3 linked regions of the Caenorhabditis elegans genome follow. The protein of the gene in region 3 interacts with the protein of the main gene of each other region in a pairwise test. Each region holds a gene or a part of one and is shown on either strand. Other genes may lie near its edges. The genes, in order: crim-1, abu-10 and K08E7.5.

Region 1 (5,460 bases), on a different chromosome or scaffold from region 3:
AAACCAAATTCATTGCAGTTAATATAGAAAATAATGAAAGGCATTTTTATTTTGAAGTTTCAAACAAGTTTATTTTTATTTGTTGAAAATAATTTTTGTATATCAAATTTTTCTGATTTTTCCTTGTTATTTAAGCACAGAAATGTCGGGAATAGCCATTTTGAAATTTCAAAGTATGTACACATAATTTTTGATATATACTAAGACATTTTCAAATTCAAATGAGAAGCAGAAAGATTTGCCGATGACAAAAATAGAAAAAAAAATTTCATGAAAAGAAGCTTAACCATTACTAATCTCCAAGACACCAAGCTCTTCTTTCCGTAAAAAAATTATCGAAATGATTTACGTCGTCCCGCATATGGCCAACTCTATGCAACACTTGAAGACAAAGTAGGCGGAGTCAATTGAGGGAGACAGAGGTTAGACACTTCTCGAAACTCTGTTCTTTTTCGGTGTCGCGCAATTGGTTAGTCATTCGTTCCGTTTTTTTTTTTTGAAATTTTCTGTTTCCTATGCAATCATAATTCGAAAATTGAATTAAAGTTTGATGGCATCTTGAACGAAACAACACGGAATAGACAAATACAGGAAGGAGTACATTTTTGAACTGAAAATCCAGACAAAACCAAATGTGCTTGAGCATAAAATAATTCGAGATCAGGTTGAGACGGAAATTCTACAACAAGGCCGATCGTGGCTCGTTGTTCCATTATATTTCAGTAAAAATGTAGAAAATGTTTTAATAATCTATAAACTTTTCATTTTGAGTTAAAGGAGTTGGGAGGTGCTTAATGATGGCTTAAAATCTTCCAATTACCAAACATTGGAACAACATGCCGCAATCAAGAATTTTCTAGCTCACTCCTTTTCTAGATCTTGAAAGAAATTGATAAAAACAATTTATTTTTGAACAATCTAAGTATTTTTTAACAACATTCAAGTTTTGGTATGCTCAGAATCCTTGCAATATTTCAATTACTTGATATCCCCATTGCCTACATTGTCCGATTTTTTATCCACAACAAGATCGTTTCAATTCTCAAGTTAGTCCAACCCATTTTCTACCTTTGCAAGCCGCCCTATCTGCGGACACAACATAGAGGACTTTTTGGTTAAAAAACTGCGGGCAGAGTGAAGTAAAGTAAATAGAAATTGTATATTCGGGAGAGCAGGGTGGATTGCGTCGTCCGGCGAGCACACACGAGAAGCCTCAGCACAAGAGAACCGCCACCATTTTGAGAAGTCATTTTTTATAGGAAGAGAAAATGAAAGAGAGAGAGAGATAGAGAGACTGAGAAGAAACCCTATCAAATTTCAGCAATAAAATAAGCCCAATAGTAACTCTAGAGCACCCTTTTCTTTTTAATTAGGAAGCATTCTGGACCTCGAAAAAACAACCAAAGTTCTTTCAAATCGAATGAAACATGCAAAGGGACTTTGAAATATTGAAGAAAATATACCTTTACATCGACTTGAACCATCAAGATCGTTTTCCTGATGACATGAAAGATGCGAATCACAAACAAGACCAGGCCCGTCGCAAGTTTCACCGATTTGTCGAATGCAGACCTGCAAGTATAACTTTTTGTTTATTGTTTGAAAGCCGTTAAAAAAGACCGCACATACTTTTTTATAGACTTTTGACTTATGTTTAAGTTTATTCAGTGTATTTCTTTTTGTAGAAACAAAATTATAACTAAAACCGCGGTTTAAAAACCGAAAGTAAGATTTAAGGGACAGTTATTATCATTTGAAACTTAGAAAGTTGAACCACTTTCAAAGCAATTAGGATTATTTTTAATGTACCGTGTTTCCTCTATTAGTAAAAAAAGTACTAATTATCGGGAACCTATCTATGTGCAATTTCATTATAGGAATAAGAGGAATAAGAGCTCTAAGAGGATACACGGTATCTGAATTATGCGTTTCTATCAAACGGTTCTTCGTTTTGGTACTGATTTGACTGTGTAGCATAATACATTAAAGCTCATCTTTATTCAGTTGTTTCACTGAGCATTTGATCCTTTCATTTGTTCATTTGATCATTGTCCAATAATAATTAAGTTATTGGGGATTTATGATAATAGTTAGAATTTTAGTCATGAGAAATTGTGGAAAATTATTTCAAAAGCTCACATTCAATGTTCTGGAATTTTAAAAAGAAAATTAAAACTGAGGAACTAGAATATTAAAATTAATTTTAAAAATAAGTTTTAAAGAATTGTTAAACCATAGTTCGTTTTCTATCAAAATTTTAAATTACTCACTTCGCAGCAATCGCACTGATCCTTTTTCAATTGCTCGCATCCTGAAACATCTGGACATGAATCCTTGTCACATGTCCCGCACAATGTGGTCTTTTGGTTTTTTGCATTGGAAATGATAAGAAATGTGAAGAGTAAAATAATACTACTTGACCACTGCATTTCAACAATTCTGCATAACCGTTTTTGCCGTTCAGCGGAGAAGCCGCGTGATGAACGGCCCACAAGCTCTGCAAAGAAAAATATGAAAATTGTAGTCATGTATATAAATTTTTTGTCGATTTTTTTGGGACCATGTAACTAAGATTTCAATTCAAATGAAAAAGTAAGTAAAACGAGAAACAGAGAGACCGTCTCGTAGTGTCCCAATTTGAAATGAACTGTGTCTGTGCAGGCCCCGCCTTTGAAAATCGAACTGCGCGGGATCTTCACGACGGTAAAGCACAAGAATCAGAGAGGTTATAGACAACGAAAGTGATCCGAGTCGATCGGTGAAGAAGCTGCACTGTCAAAGAGAAAGAACACAAGCGAGCAAGCAGGGAGACGAAAAAAGGTCTGTTGACATTGGGCGAAAGACAAAATGATGAAGGTGCGCGGAGACAGAAAGATGGTAGCAGAAGCTCGTAGTATACCGAACTGGCGCCCGATGGATTAGAACACTTTGTTTTGCAATTCAATAGAAAGAAACAACAACATAATTAAGAAGAAACACTCAGTTCATTTGACAAAGGAGACCTAGTTCCGTGTTATAACATTGATAATGACTTTCATCAAAGATTCTAAGTTTATTCATGTTTACTTTAGAAACTAGAACCAGATCAAACAAAAAAAAATAGGTGGATGTTCCTATGCTACCTACTCAAAAGAACAGTTTTTACTTAACTATTTGTTTTATTCCACAGTTTTTCAAGAGAAGAGAAGTTATCTAGTTTTCAAAAATAACAAGTGATTTTATTACTGATAAAACTATTACGTCTCGTGCAAAATGTTCATTTGAAGAATTCAACTTTCAAATGATTCCGGAATTATCTTCAACGTTCACTAAAGAATTTACCGTTTGAAATGCAGAAAAAAAGAATATTGAGGAGCAGGAAACCTGGAATATTTGAAATCTGGAGAAAATGAAACCCTGAAAAACACACAGAAAACTGGTCGCTAAGCGTGTCAACCTTACAAAAAGATTACGGTACTTTCCCTATTAGCCTTGTACATTTAATGCTCTATCTTGGCAGCTCATATTTGGTTATCCTTGGTATTATCACAAATTTTGTCAATACTAAAATATCAAAAAGTAATTGGCACCAAATTTATGTGCTACATTTTTAAGCCGAAGAAAACCTAGAAATAGTTTCTTAAAGTATATCAATAAGGGTAGTGCTATATTTTGTGGTATTCTATTGAGAAGTTTCCAATTAATTAGGAAGACATGCCAATCAGCCGAATGATCGAAGAGCATTCAAATCGTATTAAATTTGAAATAATACTTCTTTAACTTTAAAAAAGTACACAATGTTCCACAAAAAACGATTCTTATGAAAACTCAATAAAAATCGCCTGGTTTAGGCCATAGTAAATTTTTTATGTGTTCAAAATGCTCTTATCAACTTGAGTGAACGAGGACAAGAAAATAGACAAAAAACGAGTCGATGAGAGATGGAAAAGGAAACATTGAAACCATTTAGATTATGCGGGTCTAGACGGGAAAAGGTAAAAAAACGTCTCATGGAGGTCTCATTGAAATACATGCTGCCTCAAATAAGAAACCGGTAAGGAACGGTGTGATAAAAGATAGAAAATGAGATGAATGTATGGTAAAGAAGGAGAGGTGTTTTGTTATTAGTGAGGGTGTAAAAATATTAGAAGAGGAATTTCAGAGATAGAGGAGAAAGAGTGGAACGGAATGCCTTTTCAGCAAAAATTCCCTTTCTTCTCTTGTAGCTCGGTAATTTTTTATCACAAACACTTCATCGACGTCTTTCACTAAAAAAAGAAAAAAAGAAAACAGTTTGAAACTATCGAGAAAGGATGATGATCGAGAGGATGATTGGCGTGAAGGTGAGAAGATTGATTACAGTGTATATTGGCGTCGAAATGTCTCTTCGGTATATTTCTCCTTTTGCCTTCGAAAGGAAAAAATGACAAGAGGTTAGAAAATGGAATGTGTTTGACTCATTTTCATGGTTATCAGTAGAATGTCGATCAGCTGCGGGTGCTCGAAGAGCAAGCATCATCGGTAGCCAAAAAGTGACGAGAAATTGGAATGATGGACAGGAAACGGAAGGGCAAGAAAATATTTATGGAACAATAAAATGAAGTTTATGTCGAAATTGAAAAGTTTTGAAATTTGAAATATATTTTCTAGTATCAGCTCGTGTGTTTTAATACGGTAAGTTATACGAGGTACGTCTCAGAGAAAATTCCAAAATTATCAAATGCTTTCGGTTCTAGAAGCTTGCTTCCCAGTTTTCTGTAAAAAGAAAGTTTAAACACTTTGGATAACACTGGTTCTAATGGATTATATAAATTTCCAAAACCTTTTGTACCAAGTTATCGAAAGAAACTTTTAATTCGAAAATAGCTAGAAAGTTTTGTTTCCACGAAGAAACAAAATGCCTACTTCTGTGCCTAGAAGGCAGAAATAACTCGCCTTGAATGGGAGAATAGTTATGTATCACTCTTTCCTAGTTCAAATTATCTAGAGGTAGGCGGTTTTTTTTGCAATTGACAGATGCATCAAAGCTGATTTGAAATTTGTGGTTCAGCACAGAAACATTTTAAAGCGTTGTTCCCTATTTGTATTGCACACCACTATTACATAAACTTAAATCAGAGAATGTTCACCATATCTTACGCGCATGGTCTCGCCGCGTGGGTATTGAGTTACTGTAATTCTTGTCAATAAATGTTATGTATGTAAACTTCAAAATAAATGCAATCGTTTTAATATTTTCGCCAAGTTCCGCGTGATTTTAATATTGGTATTTTAAAAACTAGAATCCAATCAGTATAACTTTGTGAGATTCAGTTCAATTCACATTTCCAGTTCAGTTCGTATCTTCAAAAATAATAATTTTCATTTTTTCACAACTGATCGAGAATCGAAATCCAAAAAACATAGGTTCACCGACGGTTCAATAAACAAAAAAGTTTAAACTATTCTGAGAGTAAAGCAGCTATAAAAAGTTCCAATTTG
Region 2 (5,460 bases), on a different chromosome or scaffold from region 3:
ATAGTGGCGACCCGCCAAACGGAAGGACTATGGCGGCGGCAATAGCGGCGGCCAAGGTTAGTTGGGGAAGAACTTCGTGGAAAGCGTTGTTTCCGTTCCAGTGATTTTCAATTATTTCCCATCACGAACATCTCTTCAAATTACTGATTTTCCAGCCAAGTGGCCTACTGCCGGATGACTTGGGAACCAAGCAAGCCAAAGTGATCATGGACTACGATGCAGTGCTGCCACAAGAGATCAGCGTCACCCAGAATGATGTGAGTCTTGAGAGGAGGACCCCTATTGAAACCAAATATTGTGTGAAATTACGTCTGCTCTTGTTGCAGATTCTCATCGTGTATCGCCTTCCTGGAATGGATGCGGAATATGTGATGGCTGAAAAAGGAGGAAAACGCGGAAAATTGCCTGTCAGCTATATTGAGCTGCTCTAGAAACGCTGCATTCATTAATTTATTGTCTTAGTACTTTGTTCATGTGCCAAAAATGTTTTAGTAAGGTGTCTTATTTATTGTGGAAGATCTCAATTGAAATGTGTCTATTTATTTGACTCCTCAAATGCGCTTATTATTGTATAGGTTATTTAGATTTAAAATAAATGGGAAATTTAAAGATCAAAAATTCGTTAACAATATTGAACACAATATAAAAAGTTTAGTTTTGAAGAAAACTCTCAAATCTCTTCTACGATTGCTGTTTTAGATAATGATAGAACCAACCCTTTGTGAAAATCTTCTGGTTTTCAAACTTCAAATAGAGTTTCCTAAAAGAAAATTGCATTTTTCTCAAATCTTTTTCAGTGATTTTGTTGTAATTTAGACGAAAATTGGTAATTTGAACATCATAGAAATGATTCTTAATCATTTTTTCATTTATATCTTCATTGCATATACTCATTGTGTAAAAGGAAATAATATAAAACTACTTTATGTAATGGCAATAATATTACCGAAATGTACAAATAGTTTGCGTGAAGTCGAAAAAGAAAGACATGGTCAGAAATGAGTTCGTTTAGGCGATCGATCGCTTTGCCTTGCGGTTGGTGTATCTGTATCTAAGACAGCAGGTCTGCTCGGCGCACTTGACGTATCCGCGTTGGCATACGCATTGGTTAGCATCGCAGGAAGTAGTAGCTGACGAATGTTGGGATTGTTGGTTGGTGTACGAAGCGGTGCACGATGACTGGCAAGCTGGCTGGCAAGCTGGGACGCACTGATTGATTGGTTGCGCTTGTTGAACTTGGACTTGGAAGGTTGGCTGAGCTTGTTGGGCGCAATCACAGGATGGCTGGAAGTTTAGATATCCATAGTTAATTTACTGGTCAAAAAGCAATAGTCTTTACCTGAGCCTGTTGGCAAGCGCATGGGTTTTGCTGAACAACTGGGGCACAATCACAAGCTGGCTGAGCTTGTTGGCAGCACGGGTTCTGTTGAACTGGGGCACAGTCGCAAGTTGACTGTAATTCACAAACTTAATGGAAAACTCTGGAGTGTGATTTACCTGAGCCTGTTGTTGGCAGCATGGGTTCTGCTGGACTGGAGCACAATCACAGGCTGGTTGCTGTTGGACTGGGGCACAGTCGCAGGCTGGCTGAAATTACCGGACTAAAAAAAATTGTTCAAAATGCCATACCTGAGCTTGTTGGCAGCATGGGTTCTGTTGAACTGGAGCGCAATCGCAAGATGGTTGCTGTTGGACTGGAGCGCAATCACAGGCTGGCTGAAACTTCAAAAGTTCATCCAACATTTACCAAATATATTGTACCTGAGCTTGTTGGCAACATGGGTTCTGCTGAACTGGAGCACAATCGCAAGCTGGCTGTTGAGCTTGTTGCTGACGGATCTCGATTTGGATGCAGGTCACACATGATGGGTTTTGTTGGCAGTCACAAGCTGGTTGTTGAGCAACTGGAGCACAATCACAGGCTGGTTGTTGTTGTGGCTGCAAAGATGGGTTACTTTTATTCGTCGCTCTTACATTAACAGCCTACCTGGCAGTCACAGGCTGGTTGCTGTTGAACTGGAGCGCAATCGCAGGATGGTTGCTGTTGCTGGCAGGCGCATGGATCTTGTTGAACTGGAGCACAGTTACAAGCCGGCTGCTGCTGTTGTGGCTGGCAAGCACATGGATCTTGCTGAACTGGAGCACAGTTGCACGCAGGCTGCTGCTGCTGTGGCTGGCAAGCACATGGGTCTTGAGCTGGAGCTTGTTGGACCTGAGTGTACTGAACCTGGACATTGATGGTGGATTGTTGGCAGCACGATGGTTGCTGCTGAACTGGGGCGCATGAGCAAGCCTGACGCTTTTCTCTAAGAGTTGGTGCCGAAAGTGCCTGAAAATGGCGGGGAATTTATAAATAAAATGGAATGAAAAAAAAAAGAAATCTCACCAGGGCGACAATAGCAAAAATTGAAAATGCAGAGCGGAACATTGCTGCTTTTGTTAGAGAGTATTCGAAGCCAAGCTACTACTGACAACTCAACTTTTGCTCCTCATATTTATACGCGCCCGCCGGGAGGAGTCATGGCAAGAGGGTAAGACCGGCATGCGCAAGAACAGGCGACAAAAAAGAACGAAGGCAGTTTCAATTGTGCATCAAACACAGATGAGTAGTTATGATCGGATTAGAGCACCTGTGGGAATATGGTAAGGAGGGGGAAAAAAGTTTAGTCAGAGAAAATGAAAACCGTGTGCTGAAAAAATGCGTGCACACAAATAAACATTGTTTGTTTTTGGCTTCTTGCGCACATGAAATTTTGCCGAAGACGCATACTATCCAAAGTGATGTTAGCTATAATATATTTCAGTCTAGTCTTCTAACCAGTTTAAAAACACTTCAATTGTGTCAAGAGAGATATTGGCTCACCAATTCAAAACTCGAGTCTACTAATTTTAGGCCCTACTTTACAAAAAAGTGTGACAGTTGAATCTACTGTACTTTTCCAATTTGTCAGACATTTTTTTCCTCTTTCGAGACAATAAATAACGGCCCAACGTCGCAAATGTGAATGTTTAAAAATTTTGTTTCATTCAATGTCCAGTGTTTTCCAATAGTTCACAGAATGTTCAAGTTGTAGAAGGTTCTCTTTATTCTCATTTGAAATTGTAATTTAATTTGAAAAAAATCGAGGTTAGGTTGCATTGTTAAGCTTAAATTTTTTCAAAGCATGACTAGTAAACGAACGACTATTTTGCACCGATTTGTAAAAAAAAAATTGATTATTATATCTTTTTAGTTGGAGTACCAGCAAGCTATTTTGAAGATCTTTCTTTTGTATCAAGTAATATTGTTCTGAAAGTATTTCTGAAAGGTAGTAGTTTAATATCCCATTTTCAGTAGAGCTTTTTTTCCCAATTTTTGTCTAGACCGTCTTGTAATATATCCGTTATAGTTTTCAACAATACGTGAATGTAGTGACACAGAACTTTCAATCTCCGAACACTTGCATTGAAAAGTTCAAGTGATGCGTTATTTGCAAATAGTCCGTAAATAGAGACCGCGTCATAGAAGAATACAAGCTGAGAAACTGGTTAACGCTTTCAGCTGTTGCATTTGCACAATCTCTCGTTGATTCTTCTCCCTCCCAACAAACAAATACAAAGAACCCCAATTATCACATTCTTCATTACTCAGACCGCTTGCCTTTACTTTAGATACCGGTTGAGGGGTTGAGTTGAGTTCGATTGCCGGCTGGATAAAAGGTTGCAATGTTTGTGTCTGAGGATGAAGGAAAGCAGCACAAAAAGTTGCGCCGGAATCGGATTAAAAGCTCAGGGGTGGTCATGTTACAGGAGAGTTGAGCAACGTACGAGAACCGGTACGTGAGCACTCTGTGCCGGCTCTGTTTTATCAGTGTGCCCGCAAAAACGCATGTACTTGAAATATATGTTCGTTTGATGTGATGAGGAACGTTTTCGAATTATGCGTGTTTTCAGACCATTGGGATGAGCTCAAAAGTTTGCTGGGAGGGGGGGGGGGGGAGGGTGATCTAGTTTTACATTAAATACTCATTCACTAAAAGTATGTTTCCATTAAATTTTATTTTCTGAAAATGGTCAACAATGTTTTTTTCAGTGTTTTTTTTCACGTAAGAAACATGGAGTTCTGACTTTTTCATAATTAACATCAAGGTATTAGTATTTATTGTGAATGGTTTCTCTATAAAACAAAACCTTCTGTTATTTTTAAATATGGATCTACGGTGTAGCTGCAAGCCTTTTCACAAGATGAAAAGATTTTGTAAGAAACTTTTTGAAATTTTTCAAAATGTTTTCAAAAATAAAAAAAAAATGACTGAAGTTTGCTGTAGTCTTCATTTTTGTCCACTAGTGCGTGTAACTTTATTACAAAAGTATAACAAAATCTTCTATTATTTCCAGAAACTGTTTTTTTTTTGCCTGATTGTCAGTGGAGTACACGGTTTCTATTTATTAAAAAAAAAATTAACTTGTGACCATTTTTGCATAAATAAATTGGCAAAATATAATATATCTAGTCATATATTTCCAACTTTTAAACTGTCATAACAATTTTTTAATCATGAAATCATATCAGTATGTGCCAATTGTAGTGTTTCCAAAAAGTGTCTCCCAGCGTTCCATCAGGATTTGGTTCAAAGTTCACAAGCACCATTTTGCTATATGATCTTTATCCGAGCTCTTTTTCTCCGCCAGAGTTGCCAAAATATAGTCTGCGACATTTTTTCCACCTTCTCCCAATTCAACTCAAAAGTATACAGTTGCACGCGATACAATTCTGGATTCCCGTATTGTGCTCCGCTTCGTTTATTTGAACTACCACCAGGCCGAGCAAAAAATTAAATAAGTAACAATGAGTCAAGAATTTTTTGTGGGGGGGGGGGGTTGATAATCAAAGATGAGCAGCAAATGAGTGTAGTCCAATCTTCAAGTGTGTGTAATCAAATAGAACCTTTGATTTTTTGCTCTTTGTGCACATTCGCATACACAAATCTTGCAACAAATATTGCTGCAAATATTGAACATCCCGCTGAAAACAAGCTCATATAATTGAATTAAAGAAAATTCTTTTTAATTTAAAAAAAGAAAAGAAGCAAAAACATATTCATTTAATTCGAATTTAGTTTGTATTGAATTTCTTACAGAAACTTTCTCCTTACACTTCAGAATTCACGAAACGAACTATTATGACTAAGCATTCTGGATATAGTCCGGTCCATCTTGTCACGGAACCCAAACGCAAACATTGAAACTGACCCGAATATAAAACGGTCTGCGCTAGTTACAATTAATATACTTTCCACACATGTTTCGTCTGAACACTGGAGCTTATATAGTATTGTATTCAATTTTCAGCCAATGCTTAAGTACAGAGGTAAGACTTTTTCAGTTATTAGATAGTAGATGTTTGTTTGATCGTTGAACATCAACGAGTTTCTCACATCTAATCAAGAGCCTTTACAATTGTTGATTCTCAAGCCGATA
Region 3 (5,460 bases):
ATATCCAGGTGGACTATTAGACGTGCTCGGATTGGTGCCGGGTGCTTGCTTCGGTAAGAGCACAGAACTTTCTGATGATGGCTCTAAAAAGTCGGGTGATGTGGAGACATGGTGAGTGATTGTGCTTGACTCTTGTGGTGATGGTGCAGGTGGTGAATTGAGCGTGGAGTATTTTGTATATTGATGATCTGGTCCTTCCTTGAAACTCGGGACTTGACGTTCATATCCAATTGGCCCTGTTGGTGACGATGGTGCAAAGTAATCAATCTTAGAAGGAGTAATAGCGGTTCTTGAAATTGCATCAGATCCCTTTGGATTCTCTCGGTGTCTTATTGAAACATTTTGTGGACGTCCAGGCCCGCCGGATTCATATCCTGATTGGGAGGCTAACCGATCTGTTTGAGGGTTCTGAGAGTTAGACCGAGGTTCGGTGCCAGGTGCCTGCTTTGGTGTAAGCATAATATTTTCTGCATATGGTGATGGTTCTGAAAACTTGGGTGCTATGGTGATAATTGGTGTTTGTACGTGGTGAGTGGTAGTGCTGTGAAGACTTGGCTCCGGACCAGGTGCTCTGGCATTTTTCATGAGATGTGCTGCAGTTTGTTGAGGTGCTTGGAGTGAGTTAGGTGATTTTGTGCCACTAGCTTTTGTCCGAGTTGTCTCCTGCGGGCCATCTTCATAATCCCTTGGCCTTGGCTGTGTAAGTACATGTTGTGAATTAGATGTTAAGGGTGTTGAAAATGGAGGATCAGACCTTTCCTTCGAGCTTGATGCGTATTCAATTGACACTGCTGATGGTTTAGTGTAGTCCGTGATATTAGGAATTTGGGCTCTTGAGTTTGCTCCAGACACCGCTGGGTATCCAGATTCGTATTCTGGCTTCTGGGTGCTCGAGTTGTCTGAGTAAGGATTCTGAGAGCTATACCGAGCTTCAGACTTAGGTTCGGTCCCAGGAGCCTTTCCTCTGCTAGTAGAAGATCTTGATGTTTCAGTGCTGTTTGGTGCAAAAGTGTGCTGAGTGGTGGTGAGCGGTGCTGTGGGGTTACCTGCCATATTTGAACCACGTGAAGCTGAAGAGCTTGGCTTTGTACCTGGTACATCTGTGAGCTCTTTGTAGTCATTCGACGATGGAATAGAACCATCTTGCTCATACTGGTTTTCAGATGGCTCAGCGCTAGGAGCACTTCCCTCCGGATACCCGGAAGCATGATCATCTGACCATTTGGAACTTTTCTCAGATGATCCTTTGTTTGGTGCATCCTTCTTCTTTTGAATCAATTGGGTTAAAAGGTTTTGTGGTGCAGATGGATGCGGTGGAGGTGGATCATGCAGTTTGGGAGGGTCTGTGCAAAAGTTGGGATTATTAGTGGTAGAGTGCCGTGCTGGTTTTAAAGACAGTTTGATAATCTGGCTAACTTTGAATTTTGCGCTTATATGTCCACTTGTGCGCTATTTTGCGCTTATATGTCGATGACAATGGCCACTACATGTATTCAGAAGACCTATCTTTATTTGAACTCCAAAAGTTGAAAAAGGCAGTACACAAAATCTACAATGTGACATGTGACACTACTAGAAAATTGTTTTCAGATGTTAAATATTTAGAACGTTAGTTTTACATATTCTCTAGATACTCAATTATATTTTCCTATTCCAAATACCTTTCTTATCCTCCCCGGTGGCTGTGGCAGAACTTCCCCCGCCGTAAAGTAAATCCAAATTATCAGTGCTCTCCGATTGGTCGGATCCGGATTCCGGATCATTTTCTGGTGCTCTAGATGGCGCTGGTGGTGCAGTGGTGGTTGATATTATATTTGTGATAGTGACAGGTGTTTTGGTGGTTTTGTGCAGCTTTGATGGATCTGGAGTGAAGTTTTATAAAACACGTGTGTGTGAAACCACTATTTAGGTGTTCTGGTGCATAGGTGAGATATTTCTACGTGGCCACAAAACTCAACTTTCCACCAACCTTTAGTACTACTGCTCGGCGACACTTTTACTTTTTCTTCTTCTACGGGAGTAGTGGTAGGTTCTGGAGTGGGTGTTGTTGCAGGTTTCGACGTGGTTTTCTTGGGTCCAGATTCGGCTCCGGACGCTAAATAACCACTATTTCCTGGGTCTTCTGGAGATTCACGGTCTGTTGAGATGGACGCGATCGACTGGAACGCTGGCATTTTTCCGCTGCCTGCGGAGGGTGGGACTGAAAATTAGAAGGAAGTTATTGACAGGCTATTCTGATTTTGCTACATGACTGCCGAGAAATGATAATCTGGAAATGAAACGTAATATAAAGTGCAAGATAAACTCGGCCAACATTTACAGGGAAAAATTGATAATAATTTGGAAAATAAATTTCAAAAATTGCATATTTTTTCTAACGTACCCTTCTTTGGCTCCTTTTCATAATAAAAATCATATCCGGTCCATGTGCTTTCATATGGATTTTTGGGCACTTCCATATCATTACCAGCTCGTGTTTCTTCTTCTGGATAGGTCCCTGGCGCACTTGCAAACCCTAGAACATTGTGTCCTTCTAGTAATAGTACTAGAAGGACAACTAGATGTATCAAAAGCCTTCGCATATGGAATTGATCTAGAATATCTGTGTTTAGTTTTTATTGAAAAATTGAAAGTTGCAGACAGGATAGAAAGAAGGGTTTTGACTTTACAATTTCTAGGAGCAAACTATTTTTTAAGAAATTATATCAAAGTTTAATTGGTAGAATCCAGAACAATAGTGATATAGCCTTTCAGAATTTAGGAACAAACTAAAAATAAAAAAGGAAACAAATCAAAAACTAAAATGACGGACTGATATTAAAAACTCTAGTACCTAAATTGAAGACTTTGCCTTTTTATGCCCAAAATGACCAAAAACTACCGCGTTTAATGAAACGTTTTGAAAATTTCTCAAAAAAAAGTTAAAAAGTTAGTGGGACACAAAAATGTAACTTTTATTTAGACCCCACTGACCGAAAATGTACTTAAATAAACGAATAAACTTATAATAACAGATTTACACTAGTTTTCAAAATGTTCCAACGAAAATAAACAAAAAAAAACTTAAATGACACATAGAAGGGTCAAACCGAAAGCATGTCAAAAATCTCGAGAAAGAGAAATTTCCGAATCCACCGGTATTTCTTGATTTGTGAACTGGCTAATCGACAAGTTTCCCCTTCTTCTCTGGATCGGAAAAGGAAACCGACAGGCAAGAAGGAGAAGGAGAATGTTGAAAAAAGAAGAATCCATTATCATTTAGCCCTTCTATGAAACATGGCTAACGGGATAAGCAGTGATAATGGACTTTGATTATTTTCTGATTTATTGGAAATAATTGGGGTGTGGTCTGTGGAAAATGTGATCTCTTATGGAACGAATAACTCCGTTGGGATAGGAGTTGGAAAAATATTGTCAACTGACAAAATATTTTTGAGACAATTTTGATTATTTTGATAGTTGACAATATTTTTGTATCTCTTACAGGTACTGAGTTATTAAGGATTCAAAAATCAGCAAGTTTACAAATAGAAGTAGACATTTTACCAGGGGGAGTATACAAGAACGAAGTGAAAAACTGGACATGCAACTTTGAACCATTGTTTACTGTTTTTGAAAGTAATTTTTACCTAATTTTCCAAAAACAGAGTAAATTATGATTTTTTTTGCGATGTGGCCGGGAATAAATAACAACTCGGCCACCAACTTTTTCGCTTCAATTTTGAAAATTTTTGAAAATGTCAGAAATGTTAGATAAAACTATACTAGAAAAATATCTGCAAGCTTATTACGATGAGATATCTGAAAGACAGAAAAAAAACGTGTACAGACCGCCCATATCATCTCTCGGTCTTGTCCAGAAGATGGACGTCATGCAGATGTTGCATAACAATGAAATTTGACAGGGGAAAAATAATATAACGTAATCGACGTGCTTGATCTCTTAGAGAATCGGGTTTTTGTCTATATTTTTTTATTATCGTCTGCGCATATTATTTTTTATTTTCCCTTCGGATATATTTTTGAGGAAACTTTGGAAGAGAAGGGGGCAGCGAACCAGAGAATCTTAATTTAATAAGATGTGATCTTCTGGGAAAATAGGACTTTGCACCATCTAATAAAAATATATGCTGTATTTCCTCTATTAGTCTCTATTAGTCTTGCACCCCACGGACCAATTGAAAATTAGTCTTTCATTTTATTTAATGCGAAAAGGTTTGCGTCTCTAAAGAGTACTGTAATTTCAAACTCTCGTCGCTACCGCTGTGATTAAGAAATTGCCGGCCCAGGTGTTGCAAAAAAAATTGCCCACATTTGCCAAAATTTACAGGATGTTGAAAAATGCTTTCAGATGCTGCCAAATATTTCAGAAAAAATACTGAAAATTGCTGGAAGGCCGGTTCTTTCAGAATTTCAATTTTAATCGGCAAAATTGTACGCATCCTATGATTTTTCCTACGTCTATTTTGAAAAGTAAACAAGTTCTATGAAAATATCTAAAGAAAACGGGAAGAAATTTTCAAAAAGGCACAATTTTAAACGCTTCCATCTTATAAAAAGTCCCTCCAAAACTTCCGGCAAATCGGCAAACCGGCAATTCAATTTTTCCAATTTGCCAAACGGCAGTTGCCGCCCATCTCTGTCACAAAGTATATGTTAATGTAGAACCAAATTTCTAAACTTTAAACTCATTAAAAATGAAAAAAAAAACCAATTTGAAAACTATTAACGCGAACCGAAAATGTGTTTTGTGATAGAAAATTTGAAAAATTTCAACCTTCGAACTTTGAATTTCCGTGAACATTTCTTCCCCTTACAATTTCTCATATATAAAGCCTCCGAAAATCTACAAAATTCATATTTTCTCACTTTACAAGATTCAAAACCTCTCGGAAGCGAAAAAAGAATAATGATCTCGCAAGTGAGTTTTCTGTCAGGATTCTGATATTTTCCAAACCTCTCGCTTCCAGATCATTTTGCTATTAACTCTCAATATCTTGCCATTTGTGCTGGTCCATTGTGGGAGCAAGAAGAAAACAGTGGCTCCAAAACCGGTCGCTAAACTTATGGCAGCACCTGCTGGAGGAGTCGGAAAAAGCGACTCATTCGATTCGAAGAAACAAGACGTTCCATCGTCAAAGAAGGATGAACCAGTGGCTCCAAAGAAAGAAGATGTGAGTTATTTTTGGCATATTTTAAAAGACAAAACGAACGTTTTTAGGAGGGCAACTACGAGGAGCTCGCCATCCCACAATAGTCCTCAATGTATCCTAATAAATTTTTTGAAATTCCCCCTTTTCTGTGTTATTAAAGCATAGAAGAAAATAAATACATATAGATAAATCATCGTCAAAATTTATGGAACAAAACGAACATCGAGAATTTCAATTCAACCAGAATTGTAAAATAACATTTAGAAAAATGATGATAATGACACAAGAATTCGGTGAGCGGGGAGGA

The links.
Region 1: the proteins of K08E7.5 (region 3) and crim-1 interact in a two-hybrid assay, tested with the Caenorhabditis elegans proteins (2 studies listed by BioGRID).
Region 2: the proteins of K08E7.5 (region 3) and abu-10 interact in a two-hybrid assay, tested with the Caenorhabditis elegans proteins (2 studies listed by BioGRID).

What each region holds. Positions count from the first base shown.
Region 1 is NC_003283.11:10,329,616-10,335,075, forward strand, and holds the start of crim-1 (Cysteine-rich motor neuron 1 protein-like), read right to left. Parts: upstream 2,498-5,460; 5' UTR 2,430-2,497; coding exon 2,271-2,429; intron 1,573-2,270; coding exon 1,464-1,572; intron 1,222-1,463; exon of another isoform or gene 1,082-1,221; intron 1-1,081.
Region 2 is NC_003284.9:3,795,191-3,800,650, reverse strand, and holds abu-10 (Activated in Blocked Unfolded protein response), read right to left. Parts: upstream 2,470-5,460; 5' UTR 2,429-2,469; coding exon 2,387-2,428; intron 2,330-2,386; coding exon 1,988-2,329; intron 1,939-1,987; coding exon 1,762-1,938; intron 1,717-1,761; coding exon 1,630-1,716; intron 1,588-1,629; coding exon 1,498-1,587; intron 1,454-1,497; coding exon 1,340-1,453; intron 1,285-1,339; coding exon 1,009-1,284; 3' UTR 910-1,008; downstream 1-909. Other genes in the region: F35A5.8 (SH3 domain-containing GRB2-like protein B1), read left to right, coding at 1-56, 156-257, 327-431; F35A5.5 (uncharacterized protein), read left to right, coding at 5,282-5,350.
Region 3 is NC_003282.8:12,570,503-12,575,962, reverse strand, and holds the start of K08E7.5 (Prion-like-(Q/N-rich)-domain-bearing protein), read right to left. Parts: upstream 2,596-5,460; 5' UTR 2,583-2,595; coding exon 2,384-2,582; intron 2,201-2,383; coding exon 1,970-2,200; intron 1,863-1,969; coding exon 1,662-1,862; intron 1,344-1,661; coding exon 1-1,343. Other genes in the region: K08E7.4 (uncharacterized protein), read left to right, coding at 4,910-4,921, 4,971-5,174, 5,222-5,257.